Drosophila melanogaster: one gene and its partners. The protein of the gene in region 4 interacts with the protein of the main gene of each other region in a pairwise test. Each region holds a gene or a part of one and is shown on either strand. Other genes may lie near its edges.

Region 1 (4,463 bases), about 10 Mb from region 4:
CAGCTCTTGTGCGAGTCACACAGTGGGTTTGGTTTTTGGTGATAAGCCATGGGTTTCAAGCGAACCCATCGATAGCCGGAGCTTATCGGGTGGTGGTGGCTTATCAAACGGCCCATAAATGGAGCAGAAGCCACCGGCTGCTCGACGCCGGAACTCCGCGATACCAACAAATGGCGTCTATAGATTGCTACAAATGGCGACAACAATGCCACCAATTTGACCAGCAGCTCCAATGCTCGCCATGCTCGAAATGCGCAACAAATCCAAATTAATTCCCAATGGGCCGGTCAACAAAAGCCCCCCAGCCAGACCACTTGATAACTTCCCGATGGGCATGTGAAACTGATTAATGTGGCATTATAAATAGGACTCAAGTATGTGGTTGGGTCTTAATCGAAATTAGCTTACTTTGGGTAAAAATAAATTTATGGTATTTACGATAAATAAACAAATGCGCTTATTACTCGAACTGATTTACTTTGTGATCGAGAAACAAATGGAAACATGTTCCCTTTGCATTTAGTTTACTATCACCATTTAATTCAGTATAAATTTATCGAGTTATTGGTCTTAAAGCCAAGGATATAAAGTTTTAGGTTTTGGTTCAGAATCAGGACGATATGGACGACTTGAACGATGTCATCGCAAATTTGAGCATTAAATCCAAGAACTTTATAGATGAGGCTGCAAAATCATTAACCCCAACAATGGTGGGATTCAAAAGAGAACCTGAGCGAAATCAAAACTGTACCTACTTTATGCAGAATACCTGCCAGCTTTATCAAAACATTTCTAAATCCCATCCCAAGATTGAAAACAGTGTTAAATTCGATGAAGATTTTGTGATGCATATGGAACCTGAGATCAAGGTGGAATGCTCTGTTGATGATCCCAATAAAGAAGTTCAAATTTTGCTGTATGATCCTAAATCATTTACGTATAATATTTACATGAACATTTTTTTTTAACACAGAAAAAAGGAACGCTTGAAGCAGAAATATATGGAAGCTTTGAAGCTGGATGAAAACCTTGAAGCTAGAGTGAAACAATCGGCCATTGAATCCAATCCCGATATGGAGGAACAACAAGCTGAATTGTGAGATCATAACTTTATTTATGATAGCATTTACTTAACTTTATTGGCATTTATAGAAGAAAACTTCACAAGGATCAAGTGGAAATGTACAAAGGTGTGCAGGAAGAAATTATGGTTTCCTTCAAGAGAGACATGGATGATCTAATGCAACAGTATGAAGCTGAGTACTCGCGACTTAGTAAGGTCCACTCTAAGTGGGTAAATTCCGAGAATGATTCCACCAATAACTCAAACACTCATCAGCCTTAGTCATCGCTTAGGAATTTTTAAGATTTTAGCATTTTATTAGTGAAATCAAAACGTATTTATGTAGTTTCTTGGGTTTTAACATTTGACAATAAAAAATATTCAGTATATCAAATATTTTGTTTATTTTATACAGCTTTTTTATCACTTTTCCTTTGGCTTCAGCTCACTTAGTTCCGTCGCGCTCGGCCAGCAGATCCAGCATCACCTCGATCTTAAGATTACACATATTGTTCTCCTCCTCGAGGGCACGAAACTTCTTGTTCAGCCGGAGCATATCATCTACGTCACCCTTTCGGGTCGAATGCATCCAGATGCCGTCCGCAAAACGCAGCTCCTTGTTGCCCAGCGTTAGGGAAATCTGGCGGAAGTCATCCAGATCCTCGGTGGCCACCGGATGTCCTATATTGCAACGTCCCTGACGCACTGGAATCGGCTTCGACTCGAACTTCTTGTTGAAGAGCGGCATTGCAAACAACTGAAACGGAAAGTTGACCACATTTCGATTACATCCCCATTTGTTTGCCACTGCCCCGTTGCCCAGGACAACAGACACTTGTCAGGGGATCAGCGTTCGCGGCAGGACTCGTGCCAGGTTTTTAATGGCTAGTAAGACCGTATCCATATGTACCTGCTTGAAGGGTAGCGGCTGGCTGTCAGAGATTGACGAGGGGCAGCAAAAGGTTGCCAGTTGCATAAAATCGGTGAAATACAGAGAACTCCTTGCTGCACGCGGGGATACGGATGGATTTCTAAGCCAAACTGCCTTCAACAGGATTTTAAATGCCTGATAATTTAAAAGACAAAGCTTGCTTCATCGCAGAAACTCGTCTCATGTCAAACATAAACATTTTGTTTGGTTCATTGATGAAATTCTATACAAACACACAATAAACCCGATACACAACTCTGCTGTGAAAAATAATATGATTCCAAACACACAACAAATATGACACAACACGAAAATCAGCAAGCCATTCTCAGGTAGGAGAGCAAAGGAAAATTTGTCAACTAAAGTTAGTCAACGCGCAGCCAATTCACCATTTAGCAACTTTGTGCTGGAAATGTGTGAAGGAGTGGATCGACTGATGCGGGATCAGGCCGAACTGAAGGTTCACCTCAACGAAATTCTAAATGAGAACCGCCGGCTGGACATCGAATTGGCCAAATGCAGGAGCATCTTGGTTAGCGGCGATTACCAGGAGCTCAAGCATCGCCTTCAACTCAGCAACAAGGCTTTGGACGCGTCCAAGAAGCAGGTGGATGAGCTTATCAAGGAACGGAACAGCCTGAAAACCATGCATGACCTCTCCAAACAGACCATCGAAACCATGGAGATGGATCTTAAGAATTATCGCGTCCAATTGAAAATGTCTGGAGATGACCAGGTATTATTGCACTTCATCATTCCAATCCCGTATTGATTATCATATTATAGTAAGCTTTGACCAAATCGTATGTTTTAGGGACCAGAGACTAATGGAAAAATCCTAAAGTAAACTTCAACGTTTTCGGAATTCAATTTTAGGTCATACAGCGGTACTCGAAGATCGTCAAAGTGCTGGAGGCAAAAGTTGAGGACCAGCAGAAGGAGATACGCACGCAGGCGGAGACCATAAAGGCCCTGCACGATCACAAGCAGCACAGCGGATTGCAACTCCAGCAGCTGCATGCTCAACTGCAGGATAGCGAGCAGAGTCAATCCAAGGTGTCCATCCTGCAGAAGCAGCTTAAGGAGTACGAACTATCGCTGAGCCACACCCACAATTTGCTCATGGAGAGCACAAGACGGGAAACCGCCGCCATGCGCAAGCTCGAGGAGGCTATCATACTCAGCGAAGAGGCAAACAAGGAGAAAATAGATGCCACAAAGCTGGCCGAGACCTACAAGGAGGAGATGACCCACCTAGCCTCCAATATCGGTACCATAATGGATGAGGCCTCCACACGCGTCGACGTTGAAGTGGGCCATCTGAAGAATATGCTCAAGCAAAAGGACATTATAATTACCACCATAAAGGAGAAGGTAAAAGTCTATATTCGTATAATAATTATCACTTATAGTTACACTTACAAATTTTAGCTGAAAAAACTGGCTGTCGATCATAAGTCGGTGGTGCACATGCTGGAGACCCGGAGCAATCGCCTGGAGCAAAAGTACAAGGAGGTGCTGAAGCAGAACGATAAGCTGGAGGCCGAGTTGGAGGCAACTTGCCGGCGACTTGGCGAACTGGAGCGATCCGTTACTGAAGCTTACGGTGGGGATGCCGAAGATGCCAGGATGTGAGTATACAACATAGACAATTAATGACAAACATGATTATAAATCATAACGCTTTTAGAAAAATGTACTATAAGTCTCAAATGGATCGCTGCATAATGGATCACAAGAAAATGAAGGAGAAATACCGCGAGGGCATGGAGGACATCACGCAACGCTTCGAATCGGAAATTTACAAGTTAAGGGAGGAGAACTCCGTGCTGCTGGCGGAAAACGAACTGCTTAAGAGCGGTGCCGCAGGCGATAGCTCCAAGCAGACTTCACGCTGATTTTACGGTTGTACAAATATATATTTTATGATAACTCTCGTACATAATAAATTAGTTCTACGAGATCACACTATGTGGCGGCCGTTGTCTGTGCGTTTCGACCGGGAAACAAACTGGGAAACCAATAGGCTGGCTCATCGCCCGCCTGCTTGTCAATCCAACAGAGACCTTCGCCGAGCACCTTGTCCAGTGACTGTTGAGCACGATAGTCGGTCCAGCTGAGAACGGATAACACGGAAATCAAAGGGATATTCAGTTGAAAGTACAAGTGAAATTCTTACCCCAAATCCTTGATCAGCTGACTCTGCGTAACACAGCCTTGTTCGGTATTGGATGCGGCATTCAGTATGTTGGTCTCCTCCATGCTCAGCTCTCCGGGAATGGACTGAACTATGTACTTGCCCTTGCCCAGCTTGTGAACCACAAAGCTGAAGGTACGTTATGGAAAACGAGAAACTTGTGATATTGAATGCAAGCAGAGGTAATGACCCATACCCGTTGCCAAAAATGCTCAATTTCTTAGCGGCCATTAGGATGTCCTCCTTGGTGATCTCCTGGTGCACTGAACTCT
Region 2 (5,817 bases), 3.7 Mb from region 4:
ATCTCGGCATTGTGCAGTCGGCTCAGGGAAAGTACGACAAGGCTCTGGCCAGCTATGAGAAGGCCCTGAAGTACAGAGCCAATTTCGCCGTCTGCTACTACAACATGGGCAATCTGTATCTGGAGCAGAAACGTTACGCCGAAGCGCTTCATCATTGGCAGCATGCTGTGGCACTAAATCCCCGCCAGCCAAAAGCCTGGGCTAACATTCTGACAATGCTGGACAACAAGGGGTTGCAGGATGACGCCTTGCGCATCTCTAATCAGGCTCTCCAACATCTACCCAACGATGTCAGTATCCTTTTCATTCGAGCAAACGTGCTTGGCAAATTAAAACATTATACGGAGGCGGAGGCGATCTACAAGCGCGTTATTGAGCTGGAGCCCCACAACACATTGTACCACACGAATCTCGGAGTTCTCTATCATCGCTGGGACAAGACGCAGGAGGCTATAGAGGCTTATCGGACTGCAATAAGTATTAGTGCGGCTAGAGCAACGACAGCCCGGGAGAATCTCAGCAAGCTCTTAAAACGCCTGGAAAGGGAGGCGCAAGTCATGCAGAGATAAGCGTTTCAAGTCCCACCATCCAAATATGGATCCAACCAAAATCTTGGTTGTTTGCAAATAATAAGAGGTATGTACACTTCGCAAGCTGTAATAATCCCAAACGAAAGACGAGGTTGTGGGTTAAATTACTTATTCATAAAAGACATTAAAACTAGTTAGTCTAATTTAATTTTAATTCCGTGCAATATTGTATCTATATCATACATTCATATCCCATCAGCTAAAATCTCATGACACCCTAATTGTATTTAGTATAAGTTAGGATAGTTTATTCATTTACTCGAGGGTATATACAATTAATGTTAAAACTAAATAATGATCGAACAATTACAAGACGACTTACATAATTTAACTAAACTCTAGAACTAAGCGCTACATGAAATACTTCAAAGAATAGTGACAATTGTGGCACCATTGTAAAATAATTCAATTCCATTAAAGATTCATGATTTTAAAATAATAATACCGCAAATTACATAGGTTTATATATAACACATATAAACAGATCGGGCTGCTCGAACATGGAAATAGCTGAAAAACTTTGGCAGAATGCGAGACGACAGGTCGAACAAAAGAGAGATTAACGTGGACATCAGTAAATATTCAAGATACATGCATGCGTCTATGTACTATATGCGTAGGCGTAAAGGTACAACAAAGTCTTTGTGTTTGAGATACGGGTCTGTTGGGTTTTTCTGGGCGAGCAAGCAAGCAGCAGCGGCTGGCAACTAAATCAAATAATAATGAGCAAATAACACAGCTAGCACAGCAACAGGGTTATGTGGTGGTGGCGGCAACGATCTACAGCAGCACAAACTCTTCGCTTTCACTATCATCTTGGTCGTGCTCATCGCCGTGCTGTGGCGGCGCCAGTTGAGCGCCCAATTCCTGGGCCAGAGAAGCCACCTGTTTTATGAGCGGCTTGTACAGCGAATCGCTCATTTCGTCCCGCTCGTGATCCATGCAACGACCGCGGGAAAATGAGAACAATGGATAGTTCATCTCTGTTTGCTCGGTTTGATGGGATGACTGAGGCGTCGTATGATGGCTCCCGGCCGCCTTATCCACAGTTGCCCCTGAGGCGCAACGCATAGGATGCAAATACTGTTGAAATTAAGATATTTAATAGGACGTTGGAAAACGAAATGTTTGGCTTTTGCTTACCAACTGTACGCTCTCCATAAAATTGTCGAAATCACTTTTGGTGGCACAGTAAAAGCCGATACAACAACTAGGATCCATTTTGCTGGCCTTAAGCTTCCGCGGCGACTTGCAGTGAAACGAGTGCAGGGAGAAGTTCTCTTGGTTCACATCCACCATCTCCTGGCAATAGTGCGGATCCAAGTGGATGAGCCTGTCCTCCTGGAAGCCGACAAAGTACAGCGAATGCTTTGGCTTTCCACCAAGGATGCCCAGGCAGTGTTCTGTACTCAGCAGCAGCTTCAGACAATGGGCATACACAGGATTCAGTTTATCACTGCCCAGGCGCAAAGGTATCAGAACGATGAGGGACTTCCAGTGCTGTTGTTGCTCCGTTTTGGTAGTTTCCGCCTGCGGCCGCTTCGCTTGTTGCCAAGGCACATGGGGTTTTGGCGCCGGTTCCGGAATGCTGCATTGATCCTCAATATCTTGCAAGTAAACTAAAACAACACAAAGACGGTTATCAAATCACATACGTTATCAATTGAGCCCCTGAGTAATGAGCTTCGCGAACAAGGTTGCAGCAATTACTCATGAACATATCAATGTGTCATGGTAGTTATCTTATGAATCTTTGATTAAGGGATTCCTTTCTGCTTGAACTTACTCGTGCAATCTTTGGCTACATAGACACTAATATTGTCAAAGTCTGCATTTTCCTGAGCCGCGTGCTCTAAGGCGTGTCTGTGGTGAAGTTGAAGAGTTGTTTGATTTAATAAAGATTAAAAAAGCGATAAAGATCTGTACTCACTTAAGCAAATAGGAAACAGAGGCGGGACCGTACCAATCGCCAGGTTTTTTACCCAAATGCTCCCCCAGCCGCACCAGGGCGTGGATGGAGAAGGGACTGCTTTTTGAGGAACTGTCCCCGAACCACTTGACGATCTTCTTATGCATATTGTCCTCGTAAGTCGAGTGCAACTGGGACTCTGAATCATAGCGCCAGCCTGAAGCATAAAGGTTTATTGGTAATCAAACATATTTGTGCGGGTTCATTTAACTTACTTCGCCCTAGGAAGTGACAGATGAGTCCTTGAGCGAAGAGCATCTGACCACTCCTTAGCATACAGCCCCAACCGCAGTCCGAGGTGTAGTTGGAGCCATTCATTATTGGGAACTCTCGACGGTAGGTCATCCAAATCCTACTGTAAAAGTCACGACGAAAGCCTTCGATGCCCTCCTCCCAAGGCTGTTCGCCCACTTGGTTCTCCACCGCGTCCATTCCCAGTTCCTGGGGCACCACAATCTCATCGATCTGCTGCGGATTAAGGGCTGGATACAAGGAGGTTGATGTCGATGTGGCCTGAATGCTGTCGAACGCCGATGTGGCGTTATCGGGGGTGGTATCCGCCCCGCTGGGCAGCTCGGTGATGGAACTTTCCATGCTTACGGGCGGAGTAAAGCGTCGATGATAGCACCGTCCTAGCAGCCACACGGGCTGCTCCTTTGAGAAGCTGGTCTGCCTCATCTTGCCGCTCCAGCCATACTTCACATTGTGCCACATTGCGACGAGCTTGGACTCCATGCCCTTGGTGGGAGTACGGTTTGCCGACAGGTCACCGGGTTCCTCGTTGTGCTGCTCCACGTGACCGCAGCTCGGACCGCTGTTGCCGCCGCCGTAGAGCTGACTGAAGGCGTTCATGAAACGTGATGACGTCGATATTTTGCGCTGCGGAGTCGCTGTCGCAGCGTTTTCCGTCTTGAGGTTCAGATTGGCACCTGATGTGCTTACGGGGGAGGGGGAAGGGACGCGTGGAACGGCGAATACAGTGCGATGAATCGTCTGTATGGGGGCCGCCTGCTCCTCCTCGATGGCGCCGTCCTCCACCAGCGGCAAGGAGAGCGGATCCGCATCCTGGCCGCATATCCGGCTACCCTCTACAATGGTCCCCTCGCCGGCGGCTTCGAAGAGCATCAGTTTTTCGTCGGTCAACTTGGAAAGGAGGCCGTCATAGTTCATCTGGTTGGTGGCCGTGGACGAGGACATGAAAACAGAGGCGGAAGTGGTAGAAGAGCTATGACGCTTTGTCCGCAGCTTGCGGAACTTAAAGAACTGCGGCATTGTAATCTTGGTGCGAGCCCCTTGCTGGCCCTGGCTTAACTGACAACCGACCACCGATTGCGTGCTAATTACAAATGTTTACTCACCGTTTATTTGTTGACAAAATAAGATAAAGTAACTCCACGAAATTTGTTTTTCTTATTCGCGAGAAGTACAATTGCCAATTTCAGTGTTGCCAGACTGCAAATCTGCTCTATTATGAATATGTAGGTAATGTGTGTTCTTTTTTACGTTTATCTACTAATGAGTTCAAAATGAATAGTGAATTTTGTTATCAACAGGTTTGTGTTAAACTATTTTTAAACAATTTGTATCTTTATCTAAAATTCTTATACATATAATATTTGAATTAATAAATTAAAAGGCGCCTGGTATAGGTCTGCCCTTGGCATGTCCATTTAATAGTAATATTTTACGCGGAAAACGATTTCTGGAACACCCTTATTTACTTCCGGCATGTGTGCGGTCTGGCAGCTCCGCGACAAGAATGACCAGCTGTGCGGGTGCTAAAATTCTATTGCGCAACGCTGAATTTCTAAACACTCGCTTCGCCCCACACACAACATTACTGACGACAGCCGCTCAAAATGGTAAGTAATGCAAATTCCTGCAAATAGAAGCGCTTAGCTAATCGAAAACAATTCGATGTCGCCGTCCAGCAGGGCCCAATTCAAAGGTTGGTGTACACATTTGGTCATCGCACCTGTAGCCAATTGCCGATGATCGGCGGAGCAACGATATCCCAAACAAAACCAACAACAATGGCTCTCTCCGTTCGCCAATCCTCCTCCTCCGTGCTGGCCACGGAGTCCTCTAACAAGGGAATGATTATTCTGAACCGGCCCAAGGCGCTTAACGCCATCAACTTGGAGATGGTACGCAAGATCTACAAGCACCTGAAGAAGTGCGAGAAGTCCAAGTCGCTGGTGATCATCAAGGGCACAGGTGACAAGGCCTTCTGCGCCGGTGGAGATGTGCGCGCTCTGGTCGAGGCTGGCCCTACGGATGAGTCGAAGAGCTTCTTCCGGGAGGAGTACAGCACGAATGCCCTGATCGGAAACTATAAGATTCCCTACATCGCCATCATTGACGGTATTACCATGGGCGGTGGCGTGGGTCTGAGTGTGCATGGCAAGTACCGGGTGGCCAGCGATCGGACACTGTTCGCCATGCCCGAGACGGCGATTGGCCTCTTCCCGGATGTGGGTGGATCATACTTCCTGCCTCGACTGCAGGGAAAGCTGGGCCTCTATCTGGGTCTCACAGGATATCGACTGCGCGGAGCCGATGTCTATTACTCAGGCATTGCTACGCACTACTGCGAGAGCAGCAAGATCCCTGATCTGGAGACGGCTCTCCTTAACTGCCCGGATGCGGATGATGTGCCTGAGCTGCTGCAGAAGTACCATTCCCCGCCAGAAAAGCCCTTCTCGCTGCAGCCTGTCCTGGAGCAGATCAACAAGAACTTTTCAGCGGACTCGGTGGAGGGGATTCTAGAGAATCTGCAGAACGATGGCAGTGAATGGGCCAAGAAGACGCTTGAGGTGAGTGGGGCACAGTTTACTAAGTGATAAGAACACAATCGGATGTTAATTGGCTGGGCCAATCATCGCTTGACGCGCGCTTTTAGCGCCTAAATATTTGATCCGTTTCCAGCCAATTAGCAACGCTTTAGTTGCTGCACGACTTTTCTTAACTGAATAAGTTACACTAGCTCACAAACTCACACCCCACACCTTGTTGCATTTTTCTATTAGAGTTGAATTTTATTATTGAAATCAGACACATTGCTTTTTTCTTTGTTTTAGACGCTCTCGAAGATGTCTCCCACCTCGATGAAGGTTACGTTCCGTCAGTTGGAGCTCGGATCACAGCTGTCGCTGGCTCAGTGTCTTATTATGGAATATCGTCTGGCCGTGCGTCATCTGGAGCGAAGTGATTTCAAGGAGGGAGTGCGCGCCCTACTCATCGACAAGGATCAGAAGC
Region 3 (5,350 bases), 1.3 Mb from region 4:
CACACCACTCGGCAGTCGAACACGGCCATTTACACCACCGGCCAGACGCAGTTGGTCTTTTACGATACGCCGGGCCTGGTCACGCAACATGAGATTCGTCGGCACCACCTGGACCAGAACTTTAAGAGTGCCTACCGCCATGCCATACAGCATGCGGACATCATCGCCGTGGTGCACGATGCCTCAAATGCCTGGACTAGGAAGGAACTGCATCCCACTGTCTTGGATACGCTGAAGGCGTATAGCAACCTGCCCAGTTTCCTGGTGCTGAATAAGATAGACGCCCTGAAGTCGAAGCGTTTGCTGTTGGATCTGATCAAGACACTCACCAACGACACCTTGACAGTTGGCAAGCGGGAAGTCCAGGCAAAAAGTGCTCTCGCCAAGGAAATAAGAATCAACAAGCGGGAGTCTAGCTGGAGCCATTTTAGCGACGTGTTTCTTGTTTCCGCCTTGACCGGCAATGGGCTGCAGGAGATGCAGAACTACCTGGTGGGCCAGGCTAAGCCCAGGGATTGGAAATACCCAGCTGACATTCATACGGACTCCAGCCCAGAAGCATTAATTGTGGAGAGTGTGCGGGCTCGTCTGCTGGACTACTTGCCGCAGGAGATACCCTACAACCTTAAGTGCGAGATCGAGTACTACAGTGTGGAAAAAAGTGAGTACTTCTGTACACTCGTAAAGAAATCCTTTTCAATTCCGATTTTCTTTGCAGATGTTGTCTACACATCCGTGCAGGTTCAGTGCCCCACCACGCGAATCGAGCGCCTAATCTGTGGCGAGGGTAATGGCAAGCTGCGGCAGATCACGGAGCGAGTTACATCAGACCTGGTGGAGATGTTCGGCCAAGCAGTGTCCCTTACTATATCTACAGTTTCCAAGGGCAAGAAGACCGCCGCTTGAGCACTTGTTGATTACTTGTACTTTATTTGTAACGTTGCATAAACCTAAGAGTTCACAAAAGCTTCAAATGCGCCACCAATTTGTCTAGATCTTCGGCAGGGGCTGGACCCAGTCCGAGGACCGTTGCTGTCCCAGATTCCAGCTGAGTGCGCCCGGCATCCCTCACCAAGGCGGCCACCACGTTCGACTCTTGGGCCTGTCGCTCCAGGGAGTTTAGCTGCTCGAAGTTGTCCACGCGCAGCACTATCTTCGGCTGTCCCAGGCGACACCAACGCTGCAGAATGGCGTTCTGCAGCTTGGTTCCCTGCACAGAGCTCTGGTAGCACATGACCGCCGCATGGGCGCACTGGGCCGCTGTCTTTCCCTTGGACATCTTTAGGTCGGTTCGGACCACCAGCGCCAGTTTGGTGGACTTGCCGAAGGCCAAACCGTTGCTGAGGAACTTCTGCAGGATGCTACTTGACGTGGGCATACTTCTGGCTCTGCTGCTCCACGTACTTCTGCATGCACGCCCGGAACTCTTTCACCTTCTCCTGGCAAGCCCTCCAGTCGCCCGTCTCGGCGATACACTCCTGCACCTTGTAGTGAAGCTCTATGCAGCCGGTCTTCTTCAGCATTAGTTCCACGGGATCCTGGTCCGTCGATGCGGACATTTTCTTCTCCACTTCGCCGGCTGAATTCGTTCGTTTCGAAATTACGAAATTCGGTCAGGGTTGTCAACACATCGAAGGGACACGGATATATTCTGTACGACATTTGGCCCACTATCGAATTGAAAGAATTTACTGTAAAATATATTTTCTTGCATTATAAATGTGTTTATTCCATAGACAGAATAGGAAATTTTTAGATCTTTGGGACCTTTTTCTGTATAAATACATGATGATTTGTTTTACCTACAATATATGTTGAAAAAAGTATATGAAACATACATTCCTATGGTTTTACAATTTTTGTATGGCTTAAAATGCTTTTTTAACATTTCCCAAATCAAATTTTTAAGAACGCATTAGTATAGTTTTCTAAGAATGGACCACACAGAAGTAAAGTAAAGCTCATATAAATAAAAGTTTGTGTTTGTTCTTTGGGATAGATGTAGAAAACTTTTCGGCCAAACAAGTGTGCACGGGGTATGACCATTTATTCGTGACTCTTGCGCGGCGTTGCGGTAATTTGAGCGAAGGCCGCCACGGGCACACCGATGCGAATGCAATCAACGAGAAACGAGCGAATTGCAACGAGCAGGCGAAAAATCACAAAAAGCGGAAAATCACAACAATCGTGGGTGCAAACGAAACGGAAACTGCGAGGCAACGGAAAGTCGGGTCCCGGAAAATCCAAACGGATGGCCCTGCAGTGAAACGCTGATGAAAGCAGAGGCGCACTTGGCGCGATTCGAGGGGCAAAGCGCGTTGCGTTGTGCTGCTCTGCGTTCTTTTCCAAAACCGATTTCGATTCCAAAAACCAAACCAATCCAATACCCACACTTATACACTTGCACACCGACACACCAGCGCACACACACAGACACGCGCGCGCATACAGTGAGCGAGTGAAAGTGCATCTACATCTGTGATTTCGTATATAATAATGCGTCGCGCATACGCGGATTTGGCCAGCAGAAGCACCAAAGACTAACAAGTGATCCGGAGCCGGGGACTGACTGAGTTGGCTGGGCTCATTGACCCATCCACCGCGTGAAAGCCCCGCCAGAAATGGCCGATCAGGTGGCGCACACCAAAGAAACGGATGCAGATGAGCCGCTGGTCAATGGCGAACTGCCAATGGAGGAGGCGCCGCCTTCCTGCTGCCATGTGATGTCTCTGTCCTCCATGGACGTAGATGTAGATGCGGATGCGGAGGGCGATGTGGATGCCACAGCGTCCTCCTCCTGCGTCGCCACCGCTTCCCAGCTGAATCCGTCGCCACCGCCTGCTGGTGTCCAACAGGCGAAGCCGGCGCGGAGCAGCTCACCGCCATGCCAGCTCCTGGAGCGGCTCAGCTTTCCCGACGGCAACATCATCAACACGCTGCACACGATCCTCGCCCTGCCTCCTTTTGATCCTTATGCCCCCGCCCCCAAAGCGGAGACGGTCTACAAGGAGGTCGTATCGCTGATGCAGTGGAGCCAGCGGGAAGACAACGCCATCGAACTGGAGCTCAGCGACAAGCTGCTGCACGAGTGCGAGCACAAGGGCGGCGATCCCAACGATGAGACGCGATCGTATTTGGTGGGTTCCCAGAAGCTGCCCGAAAGCTGTGGAGATCGATTTCATTTCATGTATTTTTTTTATTTAAATGTACTATTAAAGATGTGTGTGGGATTTTTTTATATTATACCTACATTTAGATTGGATTTAATGAGTTATCAAATCAAATGGGATAGAAATTATCTTATTAGATCGACTTTAGATGTTTCGAAATACTTAAACATGATTTTTTTTGGTTTAAAGAACACTTATTTGAAATTATGCTTTAGAATATTGATAGGTGCAATCATACCAAATACATTATATTTGAGAATATAAAGCTTTCTCAGTAAATACTCACTATCGTTCACCTTCTTTTCAGATGGCCATTGAGAACATGCGCCTGTTCTCTGAGGATCCAAAGAATCCGCTTCGTGACGCCGACGGACAGCTGCGTGCAATTACGGTGTGTTTGCTTGAAAGGATTAAGATGTATAACGAAACGTACTCCTAATCCATTGTAGCTATATTTCCAGAATCTTGCCTTCATATTTGTGAAACACCGGAAGGAGGAGTTCTTCACATTTTGTTCCTGCAAGGAATGTCTCGAATACCGCGAAACCATCATGGCCATCATGATGGATCAATTTAAGGCTGCGCACATGGTGGTCATGTTGCTAGACGTACTGATCAAGGCCTACAGTCCCATGTTGAAGTAAGAACAGTCTGCAAAACTGCAATAAGAAAAAGTCTCCTAAGTCAGTTGGTAATCATTTAAACATCTCTGTTCCAGAAACGATGCTGCCTACAATAAGTTTGAGAAACTGCTTGAGTGCAACAAGGAGATCTATTGGATTACGAGCGGTTACCTCTACGATAAAAATGCCGAATATCTTGATTTTATTGATGATACAGCGATCTCCGACAATATGATATTAGTGCTATTCAGCGCCATGTAAGTGAACACCCCAGTCCTGCATTTGTTTACTTTAAACGCATTATCTGTTCACAGATTAATGGCTAACAATCCGATGCTGCTGCTACAAATACTCGCCTATAATGTTGAATGCATTGTGAAAGCGTTTTCCGAGGGCATGATCGAAATTGCCCAAAATATTCAGGAAAACGAGAAGATTTCGGCAGAAAGGATGCTGACATGTAAGGGAATTCTCAAATGATAGCTAACTAAATAAATAAGGGGCATATTCTTCTCTTAAGTACATAAATTTAGTGACTAGGAGGAATTTATCTTTTAACTCGAACTGGTTTCATAGGGAAAATCCACTTACATATAAACTCAATGAATCACTCTTGTTTTTTAACCCTGTGTAGACATTCTGGACGGCTACTCTGATCTGAATTGCATCTCGCAGAAGATCTCGCTCAGCCTGTTTGCGTTTGAGAACGATTTCCTGCGAAAGTTCAGGCTGTCGTGGGTTCTTCTATGCCAGCGCCTTTTCCAGCAGCATGTATTCACACCCCTGGGTGATACCATGCTGGCCTGCATCCTGTCGTTGAAGGAGGTGGCTCCATCGGCCCAGACGACGGCGCTGATTAAGCGGTACATGCTGTTCGACGAGCACATGCACTCCATTGAGCGGCGCTGGACGGACATCTGGATCGAGCTAAATAAGTTTAACTTGTCGCCAACGGAGCACGAGCGCCGGATGGGCCTGCTCGATGTGTACAACATATTCGACAAGGTCGTCCTGGACGCCACATCTTTTTCGCTGCCGGATATCAGCGACGATGAGTTTATAGACTTCCAGCGCATCGTCGATCGCCAGCTGGCCTGGAAGAATATCATGGCCTTCACGAAGCTGAAGTGGCCCGATGGCTTCTACGATCCGCCCAATAAGCTGGTGCACGAGGATCTCTGCAAGAAGTGCAATTCACTTCTCGAGCACCATAACGAGTAAGTAGATTGGGTAGATTGTGCACCCAATCTGAAATTTTACAAAATAATAAATAATATAAATTAAAATTTTAAAATTATTTTTATCATTATGTACCATATCAGGAACTGCAAATGCATCACTTGCTCCATCGCCGGCACTCCTTTGCGACCACGACAAGCGGGCCATTGTGCCAAGTGCACAACGCTCGGCATTGTCGAGAAGGATCCGAAGCTGATGAAGTCCAAGATCCTTAGCACCTGCACCAGTGATGAGGCCAAGCACAATGCGGCCATAGCGGCTACTACGAGCTCCTCCACCTCCACCGCCCAGCAACAGCGACGCACTAGCGATCTGCCA
Region 4 (3,903 bases):
TGACTTCCACATGCTGCTCAGCACACAGCTCCATCGGCGCCTCCTGCAGACAGTCGGTTGACGTTGGAGCAGCACCGTTCTTTAGATGCTTCATTAGAAGTTCGTTGGCGGCCATCGCCTGCTTCACATAGCAATAGGCACCCATTAATTTTTTGGTGCATCCACTGCACAAGCATTGCGGAAATTTCTGACTACCAGTTGCATCCAGCTGAAAGGTAAATGTTTCATTTTAGTTTGCATTTTTCGTAGATTTCGCTTCTTAGAACTTTGTTTACATTGATTTCGGTTAGCTCGCATAAAATCTCCGAAAGCAACTTGTCCGGATACTTTTTCGAGGGCGTGGCCAGCTTCAGAAGGTTGTCGGTGTCCGTGGAGTCGCACGTGCGACAAATCACCGGCAGCTTCATGGCGAACAAATTTGTTTTGGCCAATTGAAAGCTTTTTTAATTTTAAATCAACAATCAGAAAATCAACATTATTGATGGTATGACCTTGATGCGAGAGATGGAAAATACCGTTCGGTCATTAAAAAAATACCACGTTGTTAAAAAATACAGCAATTAATTGGGTGCGTTCAGCAGAGTCCGCTAATTATTTTCAAAGGGAAATATTACACAAATATTTTTAAAATAAACTGAAGAAATTGTTAAATTATGAAAAATATAAATCAATATCCACCAGACAAACAATTAATACAAATATTACAGAACCATTAGAAACTGTGATTAAAAAATCACGACTTAAAATTTACTGCTGACGGTGACCAATTGTTGAATGTGAAATCAATAGTGCACTTTTATTACAATAAATCTACAATAGAGCGACGATAATTTGTTATTTAATCTAAATTGGAGCTTAAATTAGTTTGTGGCGTGTGCACGTTTAGCATACGCGAAATCCGGCAAACCGAAACAGAGCCTCGACCCGATTAGATCCAATCCTCTAGTATTTCTTGATCGTTTTCCGTATGAGGGCAAGGCGCTGTTTGTGCGCCTCCGTGACAGCTGCCCGCTTGTAGGGACGCAGTTCGTCCGTACCGAAGCCGGGTATCCACATGTTGTACTTCCGCTCAAAGTGCAGCTGCACGTCGCGCACCTCGATCTTGTTAGACTTTCGGTGCTTGGCGAAGGCGCTCGTCGACTTGACGGTGTCCTCGACAAAGTCGTCGATGATCTGAAGCAGAAGCTCCTCAACATCCTCGTCCAGCTGCGTGGTGGTATCCACCTCTCGGACGAGCTCTGTGAGACGCGGTTTGGTAAGCATCTGTAATTCGGAAGAGAGTTAAACTAGACCCTGGCGTATTCCGTGTGCACTCCATAAGGCACGCATCTTACGGGAGTGTTCTCGGAACCGGCGGCGGATGATGTGTGATTGGATGACTTGCTACCACCAGATATGGGGCCCGTTCCCGTACCCAAACCGGAAACCGGTCCGCCGTTCTGCGAGGATGAGTTGCTGTTGTTGGTCATCGGACTGTGCTGGGAGGGCGAGGCCATGGGTGGGTCGTGGAGCAGTCCGCTGGCGGACGATGTGGAGTTGTGGTTGTGGTGCAGGTGGTGCTCGGCGACGCCGTTGCTATCGAAAGTGGTAAAGAGATCCGACATTGCTTTTGGGTTTCTTCAGAGTCAAATCAAGTGGGTGGTAGGTCGGTTGGTTGGAAGTGTTTGGGGAAAGTACAGTAAGTTGGGCGGATTTTTGGGGAGTGGGTAAGAGTGCAGAACCAAAGCCAAAAGCGTTAGTGTACTTGTTGTTGTTGCTGCTTATGTTGTGTGTCCTCCTGCTTTCTCAACTGCAGTCGGTGATTGTGTGTGCGTGGGTGTTTGGTTGCAAAGCGAAATGTAAGTAAAAGAATAGAGTGGTCAATTTCACGCGTGCGGTCTTAAGAATCCGTCGCTTTGTGTGTTTACTAAAACTAAAGTGTTACTTAGCAGTTGCTCTTAGCGCATGCAACACTTACAATTATTGCGGTTTTAACACTTTGATCTTAAACTATTACTTTCCTAAATTACTAAACAAAATAAAAATAAGCGGAGCAACTACAGCCAAATCAACAGTATGGCCAGTTGCAGGCGACTCTGAAATGCCCGCTGGTGCTATAAAGCAATTTGGTATATTTACGTTTAATTTCAGTATATTTTAGTTAGACAGCCACACTGGCGTGGAGTTCAAAACAAAACAAAGACGGCGTATTTTGCAAATATCACGTAGATAAGGAATATATTTTACTTTGTAATTGGGAACAATAGCTGCGCAAAAGAAACATGTCAGCGAGCGAAGAAACAATAGCGGACAGTCAGGTCTCCGAGAATGTGGAGGATGTGGAATTCGTAGACATGGCGTTCACAAAGGAGTTGCGTAAAGCCACAAAAGATGTGCATAATCTTACTGATGTTCTAGTGAATGCAAAGATCGCACTTGGTTCGTTAATTACACGATATTATTAGAAGTTATTAGATATTCCTCTTCTTCCATAGCCCTTTCTGATGACGAGGTCTGGTATGATGGACTCCTGGCCTTCTACGAACTGTACAAATTCTTTGAGACCCATCTGCCGGAGCGCCTGCTGCCCAAAGAATTCCACAGAACAGCGGCATTTGAAAGGGATTTTGCCTATTTCTACGGTTCCGATTGGAGGAAGGACTACGAAATTCGCCCGGCGGTCCAGAAATATCTCGAGCATCTGGAAAAGATTGCCGCACAGAACGAACTCTTGCTGTTCGCCTACTCCTATCAGATGTACATGGCTTTGATGTCCGGCGGACAAATGTTGCAGAAGAAGCGTATGATCGCTCGTAAAATGTGGATCTTTTCAAAGAACGATGACGAGGAGCAGCAGAAGCAGGCCGACAAGGAGGCAGAGTTGGCCACCGCCAGAGCTGCCGATGGCTCTGTAGACAAAGACGACTTGGAGGCCAGGCCAATGCCTGCCCAGGTTACCATTTGCCCGCCGGGATGTGAGGCCACATATTTTCCTGAGAAGGTGCGTAGCTTTTTACTTTGTTCCTTATATCTATTGTCTTTATATCCACTTTCAGATCTCTGTCTTAAAGGCCAAACTAAGGCGCGTTTTCAACAATCACTACGGAGCTTTTGACGATGATTTGCGTGCTGCTTTTATTGAGGAAAGTCGCAACGTATTTCGCTTAAATATAGAAGTAGTACGGACCATCAAAGGTGTGAATCGTGCCAATCTTAGGAAGCTGGCCCTCGCACTAATCTTTGTTTCAAGTATTGTAGTGGCCGTGAAATTTGCTCTCAAGTAAGAAAAGTAGGAAATACAAATGTAAGCTCTCTTGAGCAAGTTAGAATTGTGATCACACATTTATTTAGTCGTTTGTTAAATAGTAAATAACCTGAAATTTGTCTGAAGTAAAGTATTTATTGGGAATGTCCGTTGGCAAAATTATCAAGCAGTCCTCGTCTATTTATCCATGGCATGACACGCTCTATATTGGCCCTATAACGTTCGTTGCTAAACATTGCCTCCCTCAGGGATTTGCCATTCTCTTCATTTCCCAAAAAGCTATCAGTGGTAAAGTCATCGGTTGTCTTGTTAAGACACATCGACAAGGTAGTGAGCACAGTTCCAGCAGCTTGAAGAAAAACATGTCAGTCAGAGGAATTTAAAAACCTCAAATCCTTCTGTAAATTACCAAAAATGGGGTGCTGTATCAGAATGGCGTGCAGTTCCTTTAGCGAGGGAATAAATCCGTTGTAGTTCAACAGCTTGGCGTGCTCCTTCATGTTTTGATGATACCATCGGATAAGGTAGTCAAACTGATCGACTTTGATGTCCAGTTGAGTGGAGCTCATTATGAAGTAATACAGATCCTGGGCAGGATTTCCATACTTCGTGACTTGGTGATCCAACAGGAGGGTTTCCTTGACGCGACCATCTGATTC

Evidence for each region.
Region 1: the proteins of Taf12 (region 4) and CG6569 interact in a two-hybrid assay, tested with the Drosophila melanogaster proteins (one large-scale study listed by BioGRID).
Region 2: the proteins of Taf12 (region 4) and Atg4b interact in a two-hybrid assay, tested with the Drosophila melanogaster proteins (one large-scale study listed by BioGRID).
Region 3: the proteins of Taf12 (region 4) and CG7518 interact in a two-hybrid assay, tested with the Drosophila melanogaster proteins (one large-scale study listed by BioGRID).

What each region holds. Positions count from the first base shown.
Region 1 is NT_033777.3:21,865,672-21,870,134, reverse strand, and holds CG6569 (uncharacterized protein), read left to right. Parts: upstream 1-2,215; 5' UTR 2,216-2,291; coding exon 2,292-2,326; exon of another isoform or gene 2,327-2,390; coding exon 2,391-2,730; intron 2,731-2,780; coding exon of another isoform or gene 2,781-2,783; exon of another isoform or gene 2,784-2,808; coding exon of another isoform or gene 2,809-2,841; exon of another isoform or gene 2,842-2,870; coding exon 2,871-3,368; intron 3,369-3,425; coding exon 3,426-3,625; intron 3,626-3,684; coding exon 3,685-3,892; 3' UTR 3,893-3,962; downstream 3,963-4,463. Other genes in the region: CG31174 (uncharacterized protein), read left to right, coding at 621-916, 974-1,096, 1,153-1,345; lsn (larsen), read right to left, coding at 3,963-4,110, 4,174-4,320, 4,388-4,463.
Region 2 is NT_033777.3:15,352,900-15,358,716, forward strand, and holds Atg4b (Autophagy-related 4b), read right to left. Parts: upstream 4,026-5,817; 5' UTR 3,918-4,025; intron 3,730-3,917; coding exon 2,775-3,729; intron 2,717-2,774; coding exon 2,521-2,716; intron 2,454-2,520; coding exon 2,377-2,453; intron 2,210-2,376; coding exon 1,734-2,209; intron 1,674-1,733; coding exon 1,371-1,673; 3' UTR 821-1,370; downstream 1-820. Other genes in the region: Tmtc4 (transmembrane O-mannosyltransferase targeting cadherins 4), read left to right, coding at 1-569; Hibch (3-hydroxyisobutyryl-CoA hydrolase), read left to right, coding at 4,419-4,421, 4,491-5,375, 5,640-5,817.
Region 3 is NT_033777.3:12,995,964-13,001,313, forward strand, and holds the start of CG7518 (uncharacterized protein), read left to right. Parts: upstream 1-2,125; 5' UTR 2,126-2,621; coding exon 2,622-3,137; intron 3,138-3,477; coding exon 3,478-3,561; intron 3,562-3,619; coding exon 3,620-3,810; intron 3,811-3,888; coding exon 3,889-4,050; intron 4,051-4,107; coding exon 4,108-4,253; intron 4,254-4,427; coding exon 4,428-5,010; intron 5,011-5,115; coding exon 5,116-5,350. Other genes in the region: CG7488 (uncharacterized protein), read left to right, coding at 1-661, 719-906; CG17327 (uncharacterized protein), read right to left, coding at 959-1,378; CG44194 (uncharacterized protein), read right to left, coding at 1,362-1,559.
Region 4 is NT_033777.3:11,677,610-11,681,512, forward strand, and holds Taf12 (TBP-associated factor 12), read right to left. Parts: upstream 2,082-3,903; 5' UTR 1,958-2,081; exon of another isoform or gene 1,790-1,957; 5' UTR 1,605-1,789; coding exon 1,335-1,604; intron 1,264-1,334; coding exon 943-1,263; 3' UTR 777-942; downstream 1-776. Other genes in the region: CG18476 (uncharacterized protein), read right to left, coding at 1-208, 276-407; Ho (heme oxygenase), read left to right, coding at 2,262-2,418, 2,475-2,980, 3,036-3,263; CG6830 (uncharacterized protein), read right to left, coding at 3,379-3,593, 3,654-3,903. UniProt on the Drosophila melanogaster protein: TFIID is a multimeric protein complex that plays a central role in mediating promoter responses to various activators and repressors.